Pelodiscus sinensis: one gene and its partners. Each later gene encodes a partner of the first gene's protein in a complex. Links are inferred from orthologs where the notes say so. Each region holds a gene or a part of one and is shown in the gene's direction. Other genes may lie near its edges. The genes, in order: RIPK3, ZBP1 and caspase-8.

Region 1 (7,696 bases):
AGAAACGACTCAACCGATCCACGGCTCTTTGATTGACAGCGGCGGGGGGACAGGACAGTGGGGGGGGGAAGAAGAGGGAGGAACAGACCCCCCCTTCTCCACCCCACCCGCTGCTGCCCCTATGCCCCTTGTAAGCGGATCAGTCCGGGGGGAAGGGCGATACGCTGGTGTTGGCACGGACAGACGGACAGACACCGTCCCTGTTGGAGTCACCGGTCCCGGGCGGAGGAGCCGTGGGGGGCGGGGGGGGGGGCTGGATCGGTCTGGCTGATCCTCCCGGACGTCCCCACTCTTACAGCAAACCAGTTTGTGATCAGGGTTTGGCTGTTGTGTTGGCATCGGCGGGTTTTCGTCGACGATGGGGAGGTGCCGTCGGGGTGGGGTCTGGGGTTTCGCTTTGGTTCGTCCCGCCCGGCCCAATCGGTCGGTTCTTGGCTCCTTCCCGAGCCCCCGTGAGGTCCTGGATGTCACCTCGCGGGTGGGAGGTCGTGCCCGCTGGTGGCGTTACGACGGGCTGCGGCGATTCCTCTGACGACAGACGTCGCCGGCCTGCCCGCGCCTTTCGGGATGGGTCAGTGGCTCCGTTCCGCATGGTGTGTGGGGGGCTGTCTGCTCCATAACCTGGGGTCCCCCTGCGCTGGGCTGTGCGATTCCCAGGACTCCCCCACGTGTGCATTGCCCAGACACCGAGGCCTATCCTGAGCAGATAACAAGGCTCATCCTGGGGCGACAGAGTGTGACGGACCAGGCGGTCTGAGCACAGCTGAGGGCATCCGCTCAGGGCAAATTGCTCAAATCCGGGGCTCCCTACAGCCCCCAGACTGGTGACCTCTCCACACAGGCCACACACCAGTCCCACAGAGCACTTCAGCTGCCTGCCTGAAGCCTCACGAGCAAAACCCCTCCGACACCCCAGCAATATCCGTGCCCCAGATGGCCCCGGGCCTATACACAGGTGGGGGGTCCTAGCACCCAATCCCACCTACCCCGAACAAGTTCTGTCCGGTTCCAAGAAACCAGCCACAGATCCCTGGTCAATTTACCCTCTGGATCTTACCCACAAATCACGCTGGGCCAATCCTTTAGAATCTATATCTAAAGGTTTATTACTACAATAAAGAAAAGCCTGAGAGTGAGGCTGTTAAAGGATAGTACGTTACATGCACCGAATCTCCCAGTCCTCGATGCAGGCTCTAGCAGAGATGTTGCAGCTGCTGGTTAAAAGTCCTTATTGCACATCCTACGATCAGGATGGGTTCACAGGTCTTCTGGGCTCTTCGATCCCTGCAGTGCTGCCTCTGGGATGAAGTGCTGAGCTGAAGACCAAGATGGTGTCGACCACATGGCCTATTTATCCCTCCTTCCTGGTCTCTTCTTGGCTGCAGCAGGTCACCTGGCCAGTGGCCTATCCCTGTGTCCCCTGCTGGCAGCTCTTAGGTGTCACCATTCCTGAGGTGTGTCCTTGGCCCATTGAGTGCCATTGTCCCACAGGGCCTCGCTCATTAGCATGTCTATAGGCTGGGCTCTGCCCAATGCTCAACCACATGCAGAGAGATATTCAGTATCCACACATTACAGATCCCTACCTCCACACACAGACATTACACAGATCTGTGAAGAGCAGAGACAGAATCAGAAGAAAGTAGCTTTTGTTTGACTCCTCCCATGGCCCCCTTTGCACCACTTTTGGGGTGAACACCCCCCCATGGGTGCAGCAGTGATCCGGCTGCTCCCCTCACAATCCAATAACGTGACACAGAGAAAGGCAGGGAGGCGGACACGGCCCTGGGAGCGAGGCAGCGAGGAAAGGAACAGACTAAGCCGGGTGCTGAGGGTAGTGGGGGCGACGGGCCCCCTAACCCAAGGGGTCGGAGGCAGCCCGGCCCTGACTCCGGTACCCACATCACGTCTGTGCTGGGCTGTGTCCCGGACAAGCAATAAACCCCTTTCTTCGACGGGCTGGCGGAGTCTTTGCTCGCGGCTACGGGGGGGCAGGATCGGGGGACCCCGGCACGCTGCCACACACGGCCTGCTGCTTTGCTCTGCGCCGGAGGAGCAACCTTTGTCCCGGAAAAGGCGTGTGCCCGTTGGCACAAGGAACATCGCCTGCCACTTCCACCCCGCCCCGCCACCTTGGCACCCTTCTGCGGGTTTCGTGAGACTCCGCTTAAAACTCCTCCCTTCCGGCCCGGCCTCAGAACCCGAAACGGGCGCCCCCGTGCCTGCAGGGAGAGGGGAAGCACCTTTCTGTTGTCCAAAAGTGGGGCCAGCAGGGTAAACTGAGGCACGGCGCTGTGCATAAAGCTTCCCGTGAGTGACCTGGCTCGGTGCAGGGGGGTGCAAGGAAGGGATGGAGGATGGCTGAGGGTACGGGGTTGAGGAAATGCCTCTCTGGTGCCCGTAGAGAGCTGTGTACCGCGCGGCCTCCTAGCCCGGAGCAGCTGTCTGTCTGTCTGAGGGTCGGTCTGTCTGTCTGTGTCTGAGGGTGGGTCGGTCTGTCTGAGGGTCTGTCTGTCTGTCTGAGGGTCGGTCTGTCTGTCTGTCAGAGGGTTTGTCTGTCTGTCTGTGTCTGAGGGTTGGTCGGTCTGTCTGTCTGAGGGTCTGTCTGTCTGTCTGAGGGTCGGTCGGTCTGTCTGTCAGAGGGTCTGTCTGTCTGTCTGAGGGTCGGTCTGTCTGTCAGAGGGTTGGTCTGTCTGAGGGTCAGTCGGGTCTGTCTGTCAGAGGGTCGGTCTGTCTGAGGGTCTTGTCGGTCTGTCTGAGGGTCAGTCGGTCTGTCTGTCAGAGGGTCGGTCTGTCTGAGGGTCTGTCGGTCTGTCTGAGGGTCAGTCGGTCTGTCTGTCAGAGGGTCGGTCTGTCTGAGGTCTGTCGGTCTGTCTGAGGGTCAGTCGGTCTGTCTGTCAGAGGTCGGTCTGTCTGAGGGTCGGTCTGTCTGTCTGAGGGTCAGTCGGTCTGTCTGTCAGAGGGTCGGTCTGTCTGAGGGTCGGTCTGTCTGTTCTGAGGGTCAGTCGGTCTGTCTGTCAGAGGGTCGGTCTGTCTGAGGGTCGGTCTGTCTGTCTGAGGGTCGGTCGGTCTGTCTGTCAGAGGGTTGGTCTGTCTGAGGGTCTGTCGGTCTGTCTGAGGGTCAGTCGGTCTGTCTGTCAGAGGGTTGGTCCTGTCTGAGGTCGGTCGTCTGTCTGTCAGAGGGTTGGTCTGTCTGAGGGTCTGTCGGTCTGTCTGTCAGAGGGTCGGTCTGTCTGAGGGTCGGTCTGTGGGTCTGTCGGTCTGTCTGAGGGTCGGTCTGTCTGAGGGTTGGTCGGTCTGTCTGAGGGTCGGTCTGTCGGTCTGTCTGTGGGTTGGTCTGTCTGTCTGAGGGTGGGTCGGTCTGTCTGTGTCTGAGGGTGGTCGGTCTGTCTGTGTCTGAGGGTCGGTCGGTCTGTCTGTGGGTCGGTCGGTCGGTCTGTCTGAGGGTGGGTCGGTCGGTCTATCTGAGGGTCGGTCGGTCTGTCTGTGGGTCTGTCTGACTTTCTTTCTGCTCACACACGCACCTTTTCCTCCTTTCTTCTCTCCCCCTCGCCCCCTTCCCCCCGGCCCGGCTCCCCCGCCGCCGCTCTCCGAGCCTGCCCCGGCCCCTCGCCTCGCCTCGCTGCGCGCCCGGGAAGTCCCGGCGGGCGGGCCCGCGGCGCAGGGGGAAGTGAGTCGGGGCCCGCGGGGCAGGAAGAGCGAGGCCGGCGCGGAGCTGACGCGGCGGGCGGGCTGGAGTCACAAGTTTCGGTGCGGGCCGGGGCCGGGCGCGGGGCCGCGGTGAGGGGCGCGGCCGGGGGGACCGGGCTGAGGGCCCCTCCTGTCCCGGGCAGGGATGGCGGCGGGCGAGGCGTTCCGGGAGCGGGTCCCGCGGGAGAGCCTGGAGGACTGGGAGTTCATCGCCTCGGGCGGCTTCGGCGTCATCTACCGGCCCGGCACCGCGACTGGCGCATCCCCATCGCCGTCAAGAAAACTGAGCCGGTAAGTGCGGGCCTGGGGCTCCCCCCCGCCGGCCCCCCCGGGGCTGCCCCCCCCCCGCCTTCCCTCCCCCCCCGGGGCTGCCCCCCTCGCCGCTCCCCCCGCCGCCCCCCCGGGGCATCAACCCCCCCGCCTTCCCTCCCCCCCCCGGGGCTGCCCCCCCCGGCCTTCCCTCCCCCCCCGCGGCTGCCCCCCCCCCGCCTTCCCTCCCCCCCCGCGGCTGCCCCCCCCCGCCTTCCCTCCCCCCCCGCGGCTGCCCCCCCCCGCCTTCCTCCCCCCCCGAGGCTGCCCCCCCCGCCTTCCCTCCCCCCCCGAGGCTGCCCCCCTCTCGCCGCTCCCCCTCGCCGGCCCCCCCGGGGCTACCCCCCCCCGCCTTCCCTCCCCCCCGGGGCTACCCCCCCCGCCTTCCCTCCCCCCCCCCCGGGGCTGCCCCCCCCCGCCTTCCCTCCCCCTGTGTCTGCCCCCCCCCGGCCTTCCCTCCCCCCGTGTCTGCCTCCCCCCCGGCCTTCCCTTCCCCCGGGGCTGCCCCCCCCCACCGGGCATGTCCCCCTCGGCCGCCTTGTCCCTCCCCCTTTTCCTTCTGCCCTCATCGCCTTCCCTCCTTCCCCTGTTCCTTCTCTGCTCCCCTCCCTTCCCCTTTCCCTCCTTCCCTCTCTGCTCCCCTCCTCTTTCTCCCCTTCCCCTTCCTCCTCCCCTTCCCTCTCTGCTCCCTCCCCCTTCCCCTCCCTCCTTCCCACCAGCTCCGAACTTTCTTCTCCCTTCTACTTTCTCTCTCCCTCCACAGCCCTCAGTTTCTTCTCCCCTCTGTGGTCTCTGCCCCTCCTTTGTCCCTGCTTCTCCTGCTTCCTTCCTAGGACCCCGGGGCTGGCAGAGACCTCAGGAGGCACCGAGTCCAGCCCCCTGCCCAAAGCAGGACCCACCCCCACTCAGTCATCCCAGCCAGGCCTTGGTCAAACCCCCCTCCCTCGGGAACCCAGCCCAGCGCTTCCCCACCCGCCTCGGGAAATCGTTTGTCCTAATCTCCAACCTAGACCTCCCCCACTGCGAGTGGAGCCCATTGCTCCTTGTTCTGCCACCTGCCCCACTGAGAACAGCCTCTCGCCAGCCTCTTGGGAGCCCCCCTGCAGGGAGTTGCAGGCTGCTCCCAAATCCCCCCTCGCTCTGCCCTTCTGCAGACTGAACAAGCCCCAATCCCTCAGCCCCTCCTCGTAGGCCAGGTGCTCCAGCCCCCAAAATCATTCTGGTCGCCTCCGCTGGCCCCTCTCCAATGCGCCCACGTCCTTTCTATAGTGGGGGGCCCAGAACTGGACACAACACTCCAGATGTGGCCTCCCCAGCGCCGAATGAAGGGGAATAATGACACCTCTGGATCTGCTGGCCATGCTCCTCCTAATGCCCCCCAATAGGCCATTCGCCGTCTTGGCTGCAAGGGCGCCTGGTTGGCGTCTGTCCAGCTTCTCGTCCACTCCCATCCCCAGGGCTGTTTCTGTCTTCTCATCCCCTCCCGCCTCAGTTTCCCCCATCCCTGGTTCCTCTCCCCTGCCCACAGTGACACCTGCAGCTGGGAGGAGCTGCTGGCCGAGGCCCGGGCCATGGACAAGGCGCGTTTCATCTACATCCTGCGGCTCTTCGGCCTCTACGAGGAGGAGGAGGAGGGCTGGGCCGGTGGCCCCCGGCTGGGCATTGTCATGGAGTACATGGAGTGCGGGAGTCTGGCCAGCCTGCTGGAGAGGGTCCGGCCAGTGCCCTGGGCCCTGCGCTTCCGCCTGCTCCACCAGGTGGCGCTGGGCATGAACTACCTCCACGGGCTCCGCCCACCCCTGCTGCACCTGGACCTCAAGCCCAGCAACGTCTTGCTCAACCCGGAGCTGGACGTCCGGGTGAGTGAGCCTCTCCCCTGCCGGCCGGCTGGGTCGGCGCCCCCTAGAGGGGGCCCGTTGCCTGACACCCCCCATTGCTCTGCCCCCCTCCCAGCTGGCGGACTTTGGGTTGTCCAAGTTCAAGCGGGGGACCACCAAGCAGAGGGCTGAGCAGTCGGAGGAGGACGACGACTACGGGGGCACCCTGGAGTACATGCCCCCCGAATCCTTCGTCAGTCTCAACTACCGGCCCACACCCGCCACCGACGTCTACAGGTCAAAGAACCCCGACTCCACCCGCCAGGCACTAGGGGGCACTGTAGTGCAGGGAGCAGGGCAGGGAGCCCACTAGGGGGTGCTAGTCACAACCCCTGGGACCCACAGAGGCACTAGGGGGCGCTGTACTGCAGGGAGCAGGGCAGGGAGCCCACTAGGGGGTGCTAGTCACAACCCCTGGGCCCCACAGAGGCACTAGGGGGCGCTGTACTGCAGGGAGCAGGGCAGGGAGCCCACTAGGGGGTGCTAGTCACAACCCCTGGGCCCCACAGAGGCACTAGGGAGCACTGTACTGCGGGGCAGAGGGCCCACTAGGGGGTGCTAGTCACAATCCCTGTGACCCACAGTGGCACTAGGGGATGCTGTAGTACAGGGAGTGGGGCAGGGGGCCCACTAGGGGGTGCTAGTCCTGACCCCTGGAACCCACAGAGGCACTAGGGGGTGCTGTACTACAGGGAGTGAAGTAGGGGGCCCACTAGGGGGTGCTAGTCCTGACCCCTGGGACCCACAGTGGCATGTTGGCATGGGGCCCCTCTCCCGTCCCCAGCTCCCAACCAGCCTCCTCTCTTGCCCCTGCAGTTACGCCATCCTCACCTGGTCTGTGCTAACTGGCGAGCAGCCCTACCCACGTGAGTGTCACCCCGCCCAGGGGGGGACCAGGCTTGGCCTGGGTTGGAGGGGTCACCAGAATCCAAACACACTGGGCCTCTGGTGGACAGGGAATCCCTGTGACCCCAGCAGTATGGGGCCCATGGCTCTCACAGGCCCAGTTCTCAGTCCCTCTGCTTAGAGCCCTGTGAGCTGCGACAGGAACAAACCCAGCGTCCTTACGAGCCCTGATTGTGGGGAGACAGAGAGGCGGGTGGGAGAGGGCAGGCAGCTGGCTAGAGACACAGACCATGGGATGGGGAGTTACATGGAGCAAGGGGGCCTAGGAAGACCTGGGGGGCTGGTTTTATCCACAACAAATCCCTGCAGACTGGGGCAAAATACTTCAGCCCTCTCTTGCCTCAGTTTCCCCAGCCAGGAAGCAGGATTGCATTGTTTTCGCTTGTGGCTGGGGCGGCCTCTTCCAGGTGCTGTCAAAAAACTGGGTTGGGAAGAGGCCGTAATATCCCAGCTTGGAAGTCCCTTCCCACCGCTGGGAGTTCAAATCCCAGAACCTCTGAAAATAATGAGTAGGGACATCTCAGTGGAGCGAGGCCATTGGGAACATGGCCCGGATCTCAGTAGTGTGTAGGCACTGGAAATCAAATGGGATGGCGGGTAATTTCCTTAAACCCCGGACAAATTCCAATTTCTCTCCCCTGCGCCAGCCGGACCTCGGCAGAAAATAATACCCTGGCTGACCACAAGGGGGCGTATCTGTGCATGACTGTGATGTCTCTTACTCACCACAAGGGGGCAGACCCGTGCATGACTGTGATGTCTCTAATTCTCCACAAGGGGGCGTATCCGCACACTACAGTAAGGCGATGTCTACACGCGCACGGCTTCTTACGCGAGTAATATGCAAATGAGGCGAAGCGTGGAATATCGCCGAGCCTCATTTGCATACCTAATGAGCCACCATTTTTTTCAGA
Region 2 (7,459 bases), on another chromosome or scaffold:
GTGCTAAGAGTATCATTGTGCCCCCAGGGCTTCCGAAGTTGAGTAGCCCTGCTCTAAGGTGTACGCCTCAGACCTGATTAGTGCATCCTGGTCCTGGACCCTGGAGAGAGACTGTGGAAAGTGATGTGGGAGAAGAAGCAGGGGGTAGGTGGGAGGAAATAGGAAATGGGTGGAGGTAGGTGCTGGAAAGAGGGGCGGAGGGGTGGGGGACTAAGTTTGGAACATCCCTGGATTCCCAGCCCCAGCTGGGTTGCATGTGGCAGCCTGGGAGAGATGTGACTTTCTCCAGGTGCCTCTCTGCAGCGTGCGCTGAACTGCCACAGCAGGGAGATAGGAGGGGAGAGCGTCTGATTCTTGGTCTCTCCAGTTCCAGCTGGGCTGTAGGGAGCAACACTTTAGCCAACTCACCGAGTATCCGCTGTCCCAAGAAGTCCAACACCGAGAGTCGGGCCCCACAAAAATCATGACACTGATGGAAAAATAAAGTTTTTTTATATTAACCATTTGGGGCTGCTTTTTTATTTGTGAGCCTTTACGGTACATTTGCTCCAGGGCCCCAAGATTGCATCATGAGAGTTAGAATTGTCCAGTCTTTTTAAAATGAAAGCCAACACTCTCTTGACTTCAGCAGTTCAGGCTTTAAAAAAAACACCAGGTATTGTGGGAATGGCAGGCAAAGCGTGGGAGGCGATGGCACTGATCGGTATTGGTTGTGTTTAAATAAAATACCTCTCATTCAACGTTCCTTCTAACCTTTTCTGTCCCTGTGTGGATTTTTTCCATCCATGTGTGGAATATTTTATGTGCACCAAAGCATGTGTGAATGTGCACCCTCAGTAGAAACACAAATCTAGCTGTGAGCACTCTACTAATCAGCTAGGCAGCATTTGAGTCTCTCCTGAGTGGCCACACAAGCACACAGCTTACAGGGAACGCTGCTCTCATTGGTTTACTCTGAAACAAAGTGTGGCTCAGAAGAGTTCACTTTTCTCTCCCTCCATCTCTGGTCACTGCTTTTCCCCAGCATCTCTCTCCCTCTCTTTTCAGCCTTGGCCCCTCGCCTGCTGCCAGTCAGTTCAGGCACAGCATCTCTTGCCCCTCCAGTGCCAGCACAGACCTGTCAATGTTAGAAGGCTATAAAGAGAGATTTGCACAGGAAAAAGGATCTTATAACTCCATCGAAACCACAGCTGTAGTGCAGGCAGCTAGTGTTACTGAGGCCCAAATGTGGGAGGAATCCTGGAGTGGCTCCAGATTAGGGCCACAAGGGGAAAAAAAGGGGGCAGGACACTTTACATTATATGAATTAACTCAAACTTCCAGGCCAATTGCATGGTGCATTTCAGGGACCTGAGTTTCTGCAACATAATCTGTGGTGGGGGCGGGGGAGATGAGAGAATGCAACATGTGAAAGATGTTAAGCACAACACATCATGTGCTACCGGAAAGTGATCAAATACTTCAGTAATGAACACATTATTAGGGCCTATATAGAATAAAATAGAACATGGTGCTAATTATTTTAACATCAAGAGCAGTGAGTGGGATTTTTCAAAGAGGTTTTCATGCTTGTTTCCCATTAAACCCAATAGGAATTAGTCATCCAAAGCTCTTTAGCAGCTTGGGAAGTCTCATCCAATAGCTAAAGTCTGCTTCATGATCCCACATCTCCTCTGCAGATGGTCTGCAATGATAAAAGCTAGAACTTCAAAGCTCATAGGGGAGAAGGGGAAAGGTAAATTTGGGGCTAACTCCTCTCTAAGGAGAAACAGCAGAGAACAATGCCAATGTGTCCTTAGTTGTATCTATTTGTGTATTGCCCTCTGCTGGAGGAGGCCCCAAGACAATGTGTTTCATTGGAAAGCCCCCTGTAGTATTTCAAAGTGATGGCATGTAAACCATGGATATAGCAGTTCTAGTCCACCACTGAAATCAAAGGTGTTCTGCCAGTGTAAAGCTGGAGTGATTCCACAGTGAAGCACAATCAGTTCTCATGGCTTACAATCACCTTAGACAGATTTTCACTGTGGCTACGTCTACATTGTCCCCTATTACGGAATAGGCATGCAAATGTAGCACTTTGGAAGAGGCAAATCCGCGGGGGATTTAAATATCCCCCGCGGCATTTGCATTTTCATGGCCGCCACTTTTTTCCGGCTTGGAGATAAGCCGGAGAAAAGCGTCCAGACTGGCGCGATCCTCCAGAATAAAGCCCTATTCCGGAGGATCTCTTATTCCTTGCAAGTAGGAATAAGAGATCCTCCGGAATAGGGCTTTATTCTGGAGGATCGGGCCAGTCTGGACGCTTTTCTCCGGCTTATCTCCAAGCCGGAAAAAAGCGGCAGCCATGAAAATGCAAATGCCGCGGGGGATATTTAAATCCCCCGCGGATTTGCCTCTTCCAAAGTGCTACATTTGCATGCCTATTCCGTAATAGGGGACAATGTAGACGTAGCCTGTGTGTAACATGCGTACTAGAGAGATATCTCTTTAAGAAATCTATTGGTGCGGGTGGGGAAGGCGGCCCTAGACTAGCTGCCAGCAACTGGCACCCTAGGTGAACCATGCAATCAGCGCCCCCACCTCCAAATTATATTGCACCCCCATTTGGCGCTCCATGTAATTTGGCGCCCTAGGCGCCTATGTGGATGGGCCACCCCTGGGTGGGAGTGGGAATGACTTGTGTCTGAGTCAGTGTTGATAGAGGAACACACAATTAATTCTCCATAGTCAGAAGTTTCTGGGATTTGATGTGGTAGTTTTGGATATGCTCAGTAGGTTCCCTGTTGCTACACTCACAGGACACCAGACAGCTTGCAAAAGGCCATGACTTGGGTGCTGAATGGGTTGGGAGATACCTTGCCCAGCGGCAGGAAGCAGGTGTTTTCCCTAAATCAGATGCCTTTTGCGGCAGGTTAGTGATACTGTTCACCCTCCAACAGGGTGGTTCTGTCAGTGCTGATGACAGACAGGGGAAACTGGGAGGGAAATATACTTTGAATGTTTGTTTTAGTTAAATGTCTCAGCTAATATGATTCACCAATGTTACTCTTATCTAAATATGATGAGTGGGAAGCCACATTTCTTTTGCTAGTCTAGTTTTGTATTTGTTTTAACTCTATATGCTTAACTAAGCAGTTGGTTATTTGATTAGCTGAGTAGTTTCAGCAGAGGAGGAAAACTCTGCATGAATTCCAGCTGAACATTTCTACAGGCAAGTGGAGGGAAGTTGTTGCTTTTGACTCAGCTTACCATGTAGATCTGGTGATCAAAGACTCTGAGGCCCCTTCTTGTGCAAGAAAACCTCTCTTGCGCAATGCTGTTACTGTGTAGGCAGCTCCTTCTGGTGCAAGAGCCTCTTCTGCAAAAATGGCAGCTCATTAGGTATGCAAATGAGGTGAACGATATTCCACGCTTAGCCTCATTTGCATATTTCTGGCGCAAGAAGCCGCGAGTGTAGACATAGCCTGAGACTCGGGTGAATTCAGTCTAAGCTTTTGGGAGTGCCTTTTCACTGTGTTTCTGTGGGGACTGACCTGTTTAGATTCAATTTGTTTTCTTCATGTTCATGTATAACTGTAGAGCTCATGTACATGGCTTACATGATAGCCCTGTTATGTTCAAAATATTTTTATTTAAATTTCTTTATCATAAGATTTCATAAAGTTGGCATTGAAGAACTAAATTAATTCCTTTTATTCTTTTGGATTTGACTATGAAAATCTCAGGGTATATCTAGACTACAAGCCTTTTTCAAAAGAATCTTTAGAAAAAGCCTTTTTCGAAAGAGAGCATCTACACTGCAACCACTTACTTTGAAAAAGCAAAATAAGTCTGGATGCTCTCTTTTGAAAAAGCCCTGTTTGCATTCAATAGCGCCTTTTTTGAAAGAGCACTTTAGAAAAAAGGTGTTGTTCCTAGTAAAATGAGGTTTTCCACGGTTGAAAAAACGGCTGCGTTCTTTTGAGTTAATTTCTAGATGCAGCTGAAGTTTTTTTGAAAAAAGGTCACTTTTTTCAAAAAAACCCTGTAGTCTAGATACACCCTCACTGAAAATCTTCAGTGAATGAACTCTGGTTCTATAGTTGCTTTCCTTAGGATGCTGGATTTTGTAGGCACTGGAGAACGGCAATGAAGAAAACCCTAGCCCACCCAAAGATTACATGTTAACATGCAGCTATGATAATATTGAGCAAAGAAAACAAATTAAAATATTTAAAAACAAACAAATATTTAAAAATAAGGACATGCTGCTGCTTCTTTCCCTGGTCTGGGTTTTTTATTATTATTATTATTTGAAAGCTGTCATTTTCATGTCTGCCAATGATTTGGGTTGGTTTTGTTTCAGAGAAAAATGCAAGTTTCGTTTTCTATTTACAGATTTACAACATTGTTTGTACGATGCTACTCACTCCTGGCTCCACCCACAACTGATCACAAGAATGATTCAGCTCTAGGAGTCACAGCATAACCAGACCACAACATTCAAAAAATCAGGAATTATACCCCCAAAATCATGAGATTATCTTAATAAGTATCTGGATTCTTAAATAATACAGATGCAGTTATTTTTATTTGCCTTCTGGTCTTGGAGTCTTTCCAAGCTTTTCGTTTTGTAATCATGAGGGTGAGAAACTTGCTTCTTTCTTTTAAATGAAGACTGAGATATCTTGACTTTGGAAGCTGGCACTTTAAGAAAAAAACAAAAAATATCACAACATTTCCCAATGCAAATTCAGACTTGTCAACACTGGATTCAGCAGAGCAAATTCCTTATTCAGAACTCTTCCCAGGGCTAGATTGTTGCATGCATTATTTGCAATTACTTACCACAGTCCTTTATCAATTATTTTCATGACTAGCTGCTAAAACTGTGCACACAATTGCTGTACCTGAATGCATACCATGGCATGAATAGATGGGCCTCTGTTGAGAATTTTGACATGACCAAGAGCTTTCAGGTGGAAGCAAAACAAAGAAGAGTGATCTCTGCTTAAAGAAACTTAAAGAAAAGCTGTTTACGATGGATTTTAACGTAGCAGAGTGCACACACAGTAAGTTGTCCTTTATGGAAGTATGAAAATATAGATCCACTCTGTTCCCTGAAGCTCAGACAGATTTCAAAGAAGGATCTTCCAGATCAGCTAGTATGAGAGATGTGCCTAAATGGATGGCATCTGAGCCAAGGACACTCATGTAAGAGAATGGAGCACACAAAGGTAAACTCTAGGAATGGAATATCTATTCATCTCTCCTGTTTTTTTCTATTAATATCCTCCCTGCTTCTATCAGGAAGTTCCCTTCTCTTGCTTACTGATGTATATTAAAATGGCCACAGACTGTCTGAGTCATGTGTAACACTTTATCCGCAGACAGACATTTTTACAGAGGACTTTGTCTTGTCAAACTTCAGTTTCGGTTTCTGGGATGATACGTAAGTTGCAATTTCCATTTCCAGCTTCACCGCACGGTATCAGTTTTTGTTTTGTTTCTTTTAGAAACCCAACCCCAAGTTACTCTTTTCTTTCTGTTCTGACTGGATGTTTGGTTCTGATTAATACATGCTCATATGCCGGAGTCAGTTGTTTTGTGACGAATTCTGTAATTGACTTTCAGTCTGCTTTAGGATTTGGACAAATGGCAAAAGCAACACATAGTGCAGGTAAGATTCGCTTTTAAAGATATTCTAAGTTTTTAATGAAAAATTGCCTGACTTTTCTGGCTGCTCATTTATACTCCTGACTCTGTCTGTTACTTTTGATGTTTAGCACATAGATGAGACTGATTTGATACGAGTGGCATTGTGTATCCTAGGAAGGTAGAGGAAGGGGGGCTTCAGAAGCTAAATTATAGGTTCTGTCTTTGTCATCATATGTCTGCCTTAGGAGAGCGATTGGAAATGTCTCCTGCTTACTAGAGAACACCGTGAATAAAGCTGGCCAGAAAATGGAGTCTATGAAAAAAGATTAATTTTTCAGCAGAAAATGTTGAAAGTCAAAACCAATTTGGTTTTCACCAACTAAATCATATATTTCCAGCCAAAAACTGTCCGATTTCACCCTCTCCTCCTGACCCCAAAAATGAAATCAGAAAACTTTCTGTTTAATGGGCATTTTTTGAAAAACTGAATATTACCAATGACAGCAGAGACTTTCAGAAAAAAAAATCATTTAGCCAAGCCCCCAGTTTTCCACAGGAAAACAAGTTTTCATGGGGCATTTTTGATTAGCCCTTGCAATGAGAATTGGGGGACAAAGGGGTTTCTCTATCAACTCCCACCAAAGCTGGCAGGTGGAAGGTTCAAGTCATCAAGCAGTTATGAAGACATCTGACAGGCAGGGATTGAAGGATTAAAATGGGACTAATCTGGGTCCATTGGCTATTTTCAGATTCACACAAACCCCAAGCTGGAAGACTGTGAACCCATGACACTGGCATCCACATGGTTAGTTAGGTATAATCCACCCATGGGATGCATAGCCTTAGCTAGAGGGTGTCCCGCTCCAAGAGCTACCCACAGTACACTGCCTGAGGCCTGGGGCAGCTGTGCTGTTGGTGTAAACTTGTCCAGCAAGCTCGCTGTGTTGGCTGAGCTCCTAACTATAGACGGACAAAATAATAATTAAAGAAAACAATTAAATGGCCACCAAAACCAATTGGTTTGGTGAGAGCCCCCACAGCTGGCACAGCAAAAGCACTGGGAAGAGACCAACTTGTGGGGCCAGGCTGCACTTGCTCTGGCCAGAGAAGAGGTGGGAGAGGGAGCTTGACTCTAGTAATTCATACTTTGTCAAACCTTGGAAACATGCAGCACTGCTCCACTCGGGGGCCCAATCCCGGGCATGCTGCGCTCCCCCTGAGCAGAATGGGATGGGAGGTGCTCACTTGGGCTCAGCACCTTTCAGGATTAGAAGCCAGCTTTGCCATGTCCAAGGTGTACTTGGACCCCATTATGTGGTTATAAGACCCATGTAGACGGGGCCTTATTTTCAGCAAGGTAAGAAAAATTCAGTCCTTTCTCTACTCTTTCTTTCCATCTTGGCTGGAAATAGTTACCATCTTTCCAATCACAGAATGTGTTTACCCTCATCTCTTCTTGCCAGTCTCAGAGGGGTAGCCGTGTTAGTCTGTAACCAAAAAAACGTTTAAAACAACCAATAGTTCTGCAGCACCTAAGTCTGTCTACACAGCAGCGTTATTTCAGAATAACTGACATTATTGTGGAATAACACAGAGCGCATCTACACAGCAAGCCATTATTTTGAAATAATGTCAAGCTGCAGGACTTCTTACTCTGATTCGTGTAACCCTCATTTTATGAGAAGTAAGGAACGTTGAAGGAAGAGTGTTCTTCCTTCGACTTCCTGCTGTGTAGACAGCTTAATTCGGCTTTCGGCGCCATTTCGACTTCAGCTACGCAATTGATGTAGCTGAAGTTGCGTAGCTTAATTCGACTTCA
Region 3 (7,808 bases), on another chromosome or scaffold:
TTGATGGAAGGGCTGGAGTGTGAGGACAGGGTGGGGCGAAATGAGAAGTGACCCCCATTTAAAGCAAAAACCATGCTGGTCATGGTTAATGCACATGCCCACTGAGATGGAGGGCCACTCGTGGCCCACTCACCAGCCTTGGTTGCCTGTCGCTGCTCCATACTGTGCTGCCTTCCCAGACGTCTCCTATATAGTACTTCACAATGTTAAATGACCAGTGGTTTTGTTCTTCCAGTGGGAATTAGTGGAAGCCAGAGGAAGCAGGCAGTTCTTTTTAGTGAAGAGCAATGGCAAGAACCACCCTTCCCTAGGCTGCAGTCTATAGAAGAAGCCGCGCCAGTGTTGTGCTTTGGAAATGAAGGCAAATGGTGTCTGTGATCAGTCTTGTGTAGCATCATGGAGAGCAGCAGGAGGGTTGGATGATGTTCATTGGCGTCTCCATATTATCTAAATGCTCCTTCTAACCAGTATCAAGAAATGCAGCTTGATAGAAAAGCTTACACCGAGTGGCCTTTCTGAAATTCTTTTTTCTTCTGATATATGTTGAATGCAATGGTTACATCGTACCATAGGTGGTGGGTGAAACCCCAGCTGGGGAAGGCAAGTCCCCAGGCCTGCGCTTCAGCTCGAGTCCCCGTCCCTTCCACAATGCCCCCCACCACCATGGAACCAAGCTCGCTCTTGCTGTAGCAGCTGGTCCCCACCCCAGGCTAGTGGTTCCCAGCCTTGGGATGCCCCCAGGCCTCTGTGCCTCCCCCCTTCCACGGGTGGTGTGGCCCCAGCCTTCCTGGCTGGCAGGAGCACCAGTTGGCTGAGCAGCTGGGCAGCTCCAGCCTTCCCAGACGGTCGTAGAACCAGTCGACACCAGCCTTTCTGGCCCTGAAGCACCAGGGGGCTGGCCAGCCCTGCACCTCTCCCTCTCCAATCGCCAGCCCCAGCACCAGTCCAAGAGCAACCCACTGCTCACAGGTAGGAGGGGCCCTAGGGCGGAGCATGGGTGGGACCACCCCAGTTGTTTTGGGAAGGCAATGCGTTCCCTTGCCTTCCTTACCCACCGCCTAGCTAGGGTAAAGGAAAGCCATTGTCCTTGCTCCAGGGGATCATGTCACCCAAACCTGGACAACTTTCCTGACCAGCCTCACACGGCTACTCTGAAAGTCCTGTGTGTTTCCGTATCACTCTTGTTTCCCCTTGTAATTTGTTCAAGGCGTGTAGATCTGTTGACCATTCTGACAGAAGTCAATAAGAAAGTGGGAGAAAAAGTGTTTCTCGACAAAAAGCAGATGCCAGAAATAAAATCAACCCTGCGGAAGCAACTGATCTTCCAGGTGCCAACGCCAGACAAGAAGCGTCAGTGAGACACTAAACTAGGAGCCGCTTTCTGAGATGGATTCAACTTGCAGTTCCAAAAGACCAATGGACTGGATCTATTCAGTTAGGTCCCAGTCCTACAAGGTACCGAGGGCCTTCAACTCTTGGATCATTCGCCCTGACAGTGGTCCAAATCATGAAATGGCCTGACAGTGTCCAGCATCTATCTACTTCAGTAGGAGTTGAGCCTGCTCAGCCTTTTCTAGGATTGACTGCCTTGACCCTGATTTCACAGGAAGAAACACACAGGAAAATTATGACTCCAAACCAATGAGGAAATCGGCAGTTTCCATTTGTCAATGTTATTCATAGATAGTATGTCTGAAAGGGGCCATTGTGATTATTAGGGATCTTAGCTTTCTGTGAAAGGAAAAACCCCAAAATTCTTCAGTTTGTCCACAGTTGAAATGAAACGCTGAATTTTAGTTTCCCTAGCCACAATATATATAGGTATCAGTTGAATGCAATGTTTTATTGATATATTTACCATTTTTTAGCAAGTTCAAGCCTATCCATTTCACAAACACTATAATAAAATTAATAGAATTGCTATTTGTATGTTTTATGTATACCTAACAGTTGTATGTTTGTATTCTATATTTTCAGGAAATTGTGGGTTTTAAACGCATAAAAACACTCACGTGATAGTCATAGTACATTGTTTCTTTACAGTTGTTGATGGTCCTACTGTTTCAGCCTCTCTTGTGTTTTTTGTTTTTTGTTTTTTTAGTCTAGTTTGGCGCTTTCCATGTGTTCTACAAGTGTCTGCCTTCGAATGTAATCTATGACCTTACTGCATACAGTGCAGAACAGGTTGAACTAGTCTAGTGTAGCACACTCTAGTCCAGTAACATCTGTGGTTCAGCATGCTTTCTTTTGGCTGGATGTCCACTTATCATGGGTGTGTGTGGCCAAGTTTCCTGAGGTCTCATAAAGTTTGTTTACAGCCACCAGTCCAGTGTTCTGTTGTGCTGTTTAGCTCTAATTTACACCTAAATATCTTCTAAGAGGCCTGTAAGCAGTGGAAGTGTTGGTAATACTGATAGAAAATATTGATCTTGAATGGTTCAGCAAATTCTCTGGTTCAGCACCAGTGAGGTCCAGAAGATGCGAGACTAGAGAGGTTCTACCTGTATCATCAATGTGAAATTTCTCCTTGCCAAATTCATTGACTCTAGGGGTGGTTTTAAAGTTTTTGGTATCTTTTCATAACTTTGATTACTCATGTCTGGAGGTTGAAGTGAAATGTGAGAGACATTAAAACACAGAACCCTATACACTGTCGAGTAACTTCAGTACATTGGAAGTAGTTTATTGTAGTATGTTTAGCTATGTAAATTTAAAAATCAAGAGTGGGAGGCTGCACACAGTGAATAAGTGACACTGACACCTTCAGTAAGATTTAGTTAATAGTTAATATTTATATTTTTTTACACAATGTAAAAACTAGAGATTTTTTGTAAAAATGCAAATTCTGTGTTTTTTCTAAATGGATTACTAGGATCCCTGGTAATCATCTTGTCTGACCTCCTATACTGCAGACATAAGACTTTCCTGAATTTACTCCTTTTTGAACTAGAGCACAATTTCCAGAAAAACAGCCAGTCTTGGTTTACCAAAATCCATTTTTATTATCTCAGCCCATGCCCCTCCTAACTTTCCCACCCCCCAAAAACCCTAACTTCCTTGATTTGTATTCTGGATTTACAGATCTGATCCTGGGGAGGTTCTGCATGGACGGAGAAAGTTGAGCCTATAAATTGCCTAGAACATCAGGTCTATAGCATGGTTCTCAGGGGGAAAAGTCCCTTTATACAGAAATTAAATCAGCAAGCAGGAAACCACTATTTTAATCATGTTTTGCATTTGTACTTTTTAGAATGTGACTTAAGGAAATGTTGATTTCTCATTAATTTGTAACCTCAGAAGCATGCTGACTTGCAACTAAATTAATTTAGTGGAAAGGCTATATTTTGCTGGTGATTTTTGCTAACTACACTATATCTCTACATATTTCTTTAAGCAAAGCAACTATATAGATTAGCCCATTAGCATATACTTATTCAGCTTCTTTGTTTTGACATTTTTAATAGAAAATGGTGAAGGCTTTTCTGATATAGTAGATTAAATTTTTTGTGTGATCTTTGTCACACTCAAATAGGATGGAAATTCAAATTAAATTAAAATGCAGAAAAATAGCATTTTAATTGTTTTTATTAAATAAAATGATATTAAAAGTGCTGTATACATCAGAAGAAAGTTTATCAGAAAGTGTATCAAAACATTGAAAACTAACCAGTTTATTAAACAAAGGCAGTATTATCAGTGATTTGTGAATTTAACTGATTTGTTCCTGGTTACGTTGTCCTTCAAGAATTTAGAACTAGTAGATCTTACTCTCTTACACCTACTTTTTCCACATGGAGTGGCAGAGAAAAACAGTGTCCTTCATTTTTCCAACTCCCAATTGGGTTTTTAACTTTGAATGAGATAGTAAATGAACTGAACTAGATAACTATAATCTGAAATGAAGAAAATATTGTCTCCCCACCTATAGAAGATGCAATTGCTCTACATAATTTGTTTAACAGTAGACTTTAAAAAAATCAATTTGTATCCACCCGGACAGTGACAAAGAAACAGGCGGATGCTAAAAGACCTGTTCTGTAATTGGTGGTCTTTGAGATGCTGCTCATGTCCATTCCAAGTCAGGTGTGTGTGCACGCTACAAGCACCATGGTCCAGTATCCACAGGGGAGCAACTCTAGCAACTCTCAAAGCACAATATAAGGGATGCTTCACACTTTCATCACCCTCAGTTCCTGCCCACTGGAAACTCCAACAAGTGAGGAAGGAGGGTGGGTTGAGAAATAGACATCTCGAGGACCACCAGTTATGGAACAGATAACTGTTTTGTCTTCCAGTGCTTGCTCACAGCCATTCCAAACTGGGTGACTTCCAAGCAGTATTCATGGAAGCAGATAGGAGTTCAGGGATATGTCGCTTGTAGCACAGCACTGACAAAGCCAGTGTCCTCCCTAGTCTGTGTGGCTGTAGTGAGTCGTGAATGTGTGTATGGAAGATCACATTGCAGCTCTACAGATGTCCTGGACTGGGACGTGAGCAAGGAATGCAGCCGATAATGCCTGTGACCACCAGTGGCAGGACATGTGCCGGGTCATAATACGCTTTGATGCAGTAACACGCTTTGATCTTTGATTGGAGATCCTCTGTGTAGACACTGGAAGGCCCTTCATCCTGTCAGCAGTTGCCATGAAGAGCTGGGTTGATTTCCATGAAGGGCCTGGTGTGTGCCAGATAAAAAGTCAAGGCACACTTGACATCCAAAGCATGCAGCCTCCTCTCCTCATTATTGGCATGTGACTTAAGGTAAAACGCCGGGAGGAAAATATCCTGGTTAACATGGAAGGGCCATAGCACTTTCAGTAAAAAGACCATCTGGGGTCAGAGCCAGATAGAGGACTGAATATGGTTCTGATGTCAAGGCTTTTGACACTCATCTGGCCGATATCACCGCCATGAGGAAAGCGACCTTCCACGATAAATGAGCCAGGGAACACGAGCCCAATGGCTCAAAGGGTGGTCCTGTCAGCCTAGAGAGGACCCAACAGAGGTCCCATTTGGGAGGTGATTCTTGACAGAAGGGAAGAGCCTTTCAAGAACTGAGCCAACAGCTGGTGCCAAAACACAGATCTGTCCTGAATTGGAGGGTGGAATGCCAAGATGGCCACTATACGAACCTTAATACAGGACTGGGTCAGGCCCTGATTCTAGAATTTTATTTGTTCTGGAAAGTTCTAGAGCAAGGGTTGGCAATCTTTTCACGTCAAAGAGCCAAATTACATCAAAACTCAGAACAAAGAGCCGGCATAAGAGTGCCCAATTGCATGACTGAAAATATACAACTGAAAATGATTGATGATTGATGTGATGATTAATAATAGCACCAATGAAACATTGTACTCACAGGCTTTATTTAATGGACTTCTGCTGCTGCTGGGGGTTTGTGGACGTGGGGGTGCAGCAGTCAGGATTGGGCTGTATGAAGGGCTCAGGACAGGGGGATGGGATGTGTGGGAGGTGCAGGCAGCAGGGCAGGGTGCTGGGATGGGAAGCAGAGTATGCGGGGAGGTTCTGGGAATGGATTACTTTACCTAGCCGAGGCTGGGCTGCTGCAGTGGCTGGGATGAGGGGCCAGGCCAGGATCGCCACAGCCAGATTATGGCCTCCCCTCCTACCTGTGCCGCAGCAGGAGGGGAGCTGCCACCAGCCCTTCCTGCAGCCAGATGGGGACCATACAGTGGGGCTTGCCCCAGGATCGGTGCTAGGGACAGGACCCTGTGGACAGATGGGGGATTGGCTTCCGATTGGGGCCTAGTTGGCCAGGCTGCCGTAGCTGGAACCTAAACCGGGCCACCATGGCTGGGCTGTTGCAGCAGTCGCAGGTCCACCATGACTGAGCTGCGGGGTCCACCTCAGGAGCACTGCAGCTGGGGACAGACCGCGGCAGAAAGATGGGGGCTGGAGCCGAGCTGTGGCAGCCAGGTGGAGGTATCTGCTGCCGCCAGCCCCTCTCGCTATGCCAGCTGGGAGCGTGCACGTGTTCTTTCCAGCACATCCTCAGCTGGCCCTTTCAATGAGCAGAGTGCCCCCAGCCTGCCCATTTTATGTGTCTTTGAAATTGTGTATTAATTTTTCGTTTTAATTTAAAAAGTTCCATGTATTTTGGGAATGGCAAAAGAACAGGCCCTTTGGCCCATGGCCCACCCAGGTCATTATAAACCTTTCCGTGGACCACCAGGTCCTAATGGAAACTTGACGCTAATTATATAATTACACTCGAGCCATTTTGCTAATGGTGCAGCAAGGGAGAACAGTTTAATTTAGCCAGTAAGAAAGAAAATATTAGTTGAAATTATTGAACAGATTAAGCACTTCAGCTTTCTCATATTAGTTTAGCAAACTTTATTTTAAATGAAGTAAAAATGTTATGTCCAATACAAAAGGTTTCAACATTCTTTATTTATGGCAGGAGCGGGGAACCTTTTTCGGGGTGGGGGCCACTGACCCACAGAAAAATTAGGGACCACACAAATGAGCAGCAAAAAACCCCTCCAAAATCCCACAGCCCTCACTGATGTGGCCCCCCACTGAGACACCCCACTTCCCTGGCACTCCATCCCCATGGAGAGGAGGAAGAAATGAAGTTCAAGGCCTCAGGCCAGATTAACTCTCTTGGGCTTTGAGGGGCAGTGGATTTTGTGGACTTCCTTAGGCTCTGGTGTGGAGCCAAAAAGGAAGGGTTCAGTGTTTGGGACAGAGCGGCCAGTGAGTGGGGTAGGGATGGGGGTGCAGGATCTGGGTGGGAGATGGGGTGCAGGAGGGGATGAGGGTGGGAGGTAGAGTGCAGGAACAGGCTGACGGTGGGGTGTCTGACCAGGGGAAGGATGCAGGAGCAGTTTGGGTGTCTGGCCAGGGGGAGGGGTGCAGGAGTGGGCTGGGAGTGCAGGGTCTCAGTGGGCAGGGAGTTGGGGTGCCAAGTCTGGGCATGAGAGGAAGGGGGCATTCACTTGCTTTTGCGCCCCATGTTGCTCTCAGGCACCTCTTGCTGCTCTCATTGGCCAGTGGGAACAGCGGAGAAATCCTACAGGCAGCATGTCCATGTGCTGCTGTTCCTGCAGCCAAGGGAGGGGATGCAGCAGCGCGCAGAGCCACATCTGCCTCCACTTCTCCCCTGCGAGTTGGATCATGCAGCGAGGTTCGGGGCTTTCTCCCCTCTCTGCCCCCACAGGAAGCTAGCGCTAGCGCACCAATCTTGTGGAGGTGAGGGGGCTGCAAGGCTGAAGTGCTAGTATGGGCTCCTTGTAGTGGAGGGAATGAGGAGGGGGGCTGCGTTCCAGCTGCCAAAGAGCCATATTTGGTTCAGGAGCCATAGGTTGCTGACTCCTGTCTAAGACCTTGGGTTTGAGCCAAAGTCCAAGACGTTTGTGAGTAGACAGAAGGGAGAGTAGCACGTGAGTCTGAGGCCACATCTATACTTATGCTCCGGTGATAGATCTTCTGGTGTTTGATTTAGTGGGTCTAGTTAAGACCTGCTAAATTGAATGCTGAGCGCATCTCGGGTCAGCATTGGTACTCCTCCCAGTCACAAGGAATAAGGGAAGCGGATGGGAGTGTTTGCTCCCATTAACATCCACTGTGAAGATGGCAACAAGCTTGGTTTAAGATATGCTGACTCCAGCTACGTTAGTTACACACCTTGAGCCAATCTTTCGGGTTTAGTGTAGCACTGGCCTGAGTTTCAACCTGGGCTTGCACTGCAGTGTAGAATAAGTTATACCTATTTACACTACTGTCTGTCTGATAGACAGCAGTGTAGATAAGTATTGCCAATAATCATACTGAAAAGTGATTTT

The links.
Region 2: RIPK3 (region 1) and ZBP1 share a complex: the UniProt entries of both Homo sapiens proteins name them as parts of the AIM2 PANoptosome complex. The link is inferred for Pelodiscus sinensis from reciprocal best matches to the Homo sapiens genes RIPK3 and ZBP1.
Region 3: RIPK3 (region 1) and caspase-8 share a complex: the UniProt entries of both Homo sapiens proteins name them as parts of the AIM2 PANoptosome complex. The link is inferred for Pelodiscus sinensis from reciprocal best matches to the Homo sapiens genes RIPK3 and CASP8.

The regions. Positions count from the first base shown.
Region 1 is NC_134740.1:1,554,589-1,562,284, reverse strand, and holds the start of RIPK3 (receptor-interacting serine/threonine-protein kinase 3), read left to right. Parts: upstream 1-4,696; 5' UTR 4,697-5,570; coding exon 5,571-5,858; intron 5,859-5,952; coding exon 5,953-6,113; intron 6,114-6,692; coding exon 6,693-6,742; intron 6,743-7,696. UniProt on the Homo sapiens protein: Serine/threonine-protein kinase that activates necroptosis and apoptosis, two parallel forms of cell death. Necroptosis, a programmed cell death process in response to death-inducing TNF-alpha family members, is triggered by RIPK3 following activation by ZBP1.
Region 2 is NC_134728.1:13,959,131-13,966,589, forward strand, and holds the start of ZBP1 (Z-DNA-binding protein 1), read left to right. Parts: upstream 1-4,364; 5' UTR 4,365-5,156; coding exon 5,157-5,219; intron 5,220-5,271; exon of another isoform or gene 5,272-5,427; coding exon of another isoform or gene 5,428-5,434; intron 5,435-5,498; exon of another isoform or gene 5,499-5,616; coding exon 5,617-5,662; intron 5,663-7,459.
Region 3 is NC_134717.1:56,935,834-56,943,641, forward strand, and holds the start of caspase-8, read left to right. Parts: upstream 1-4,743; 5' UTR 4,744-4,761; intron 4,762-7,808. Other genes in the region: caspase-8-like, read left to right, coding at 1,208-1,358. UniProt on the Homo sapiens protein: Thiol protease that plays a key role in programmed cell death by acting as a molecular switch for apoptosis, necroptosis and pyroptosis, and is required to prevent tissue damage during embryonic development and adulthood.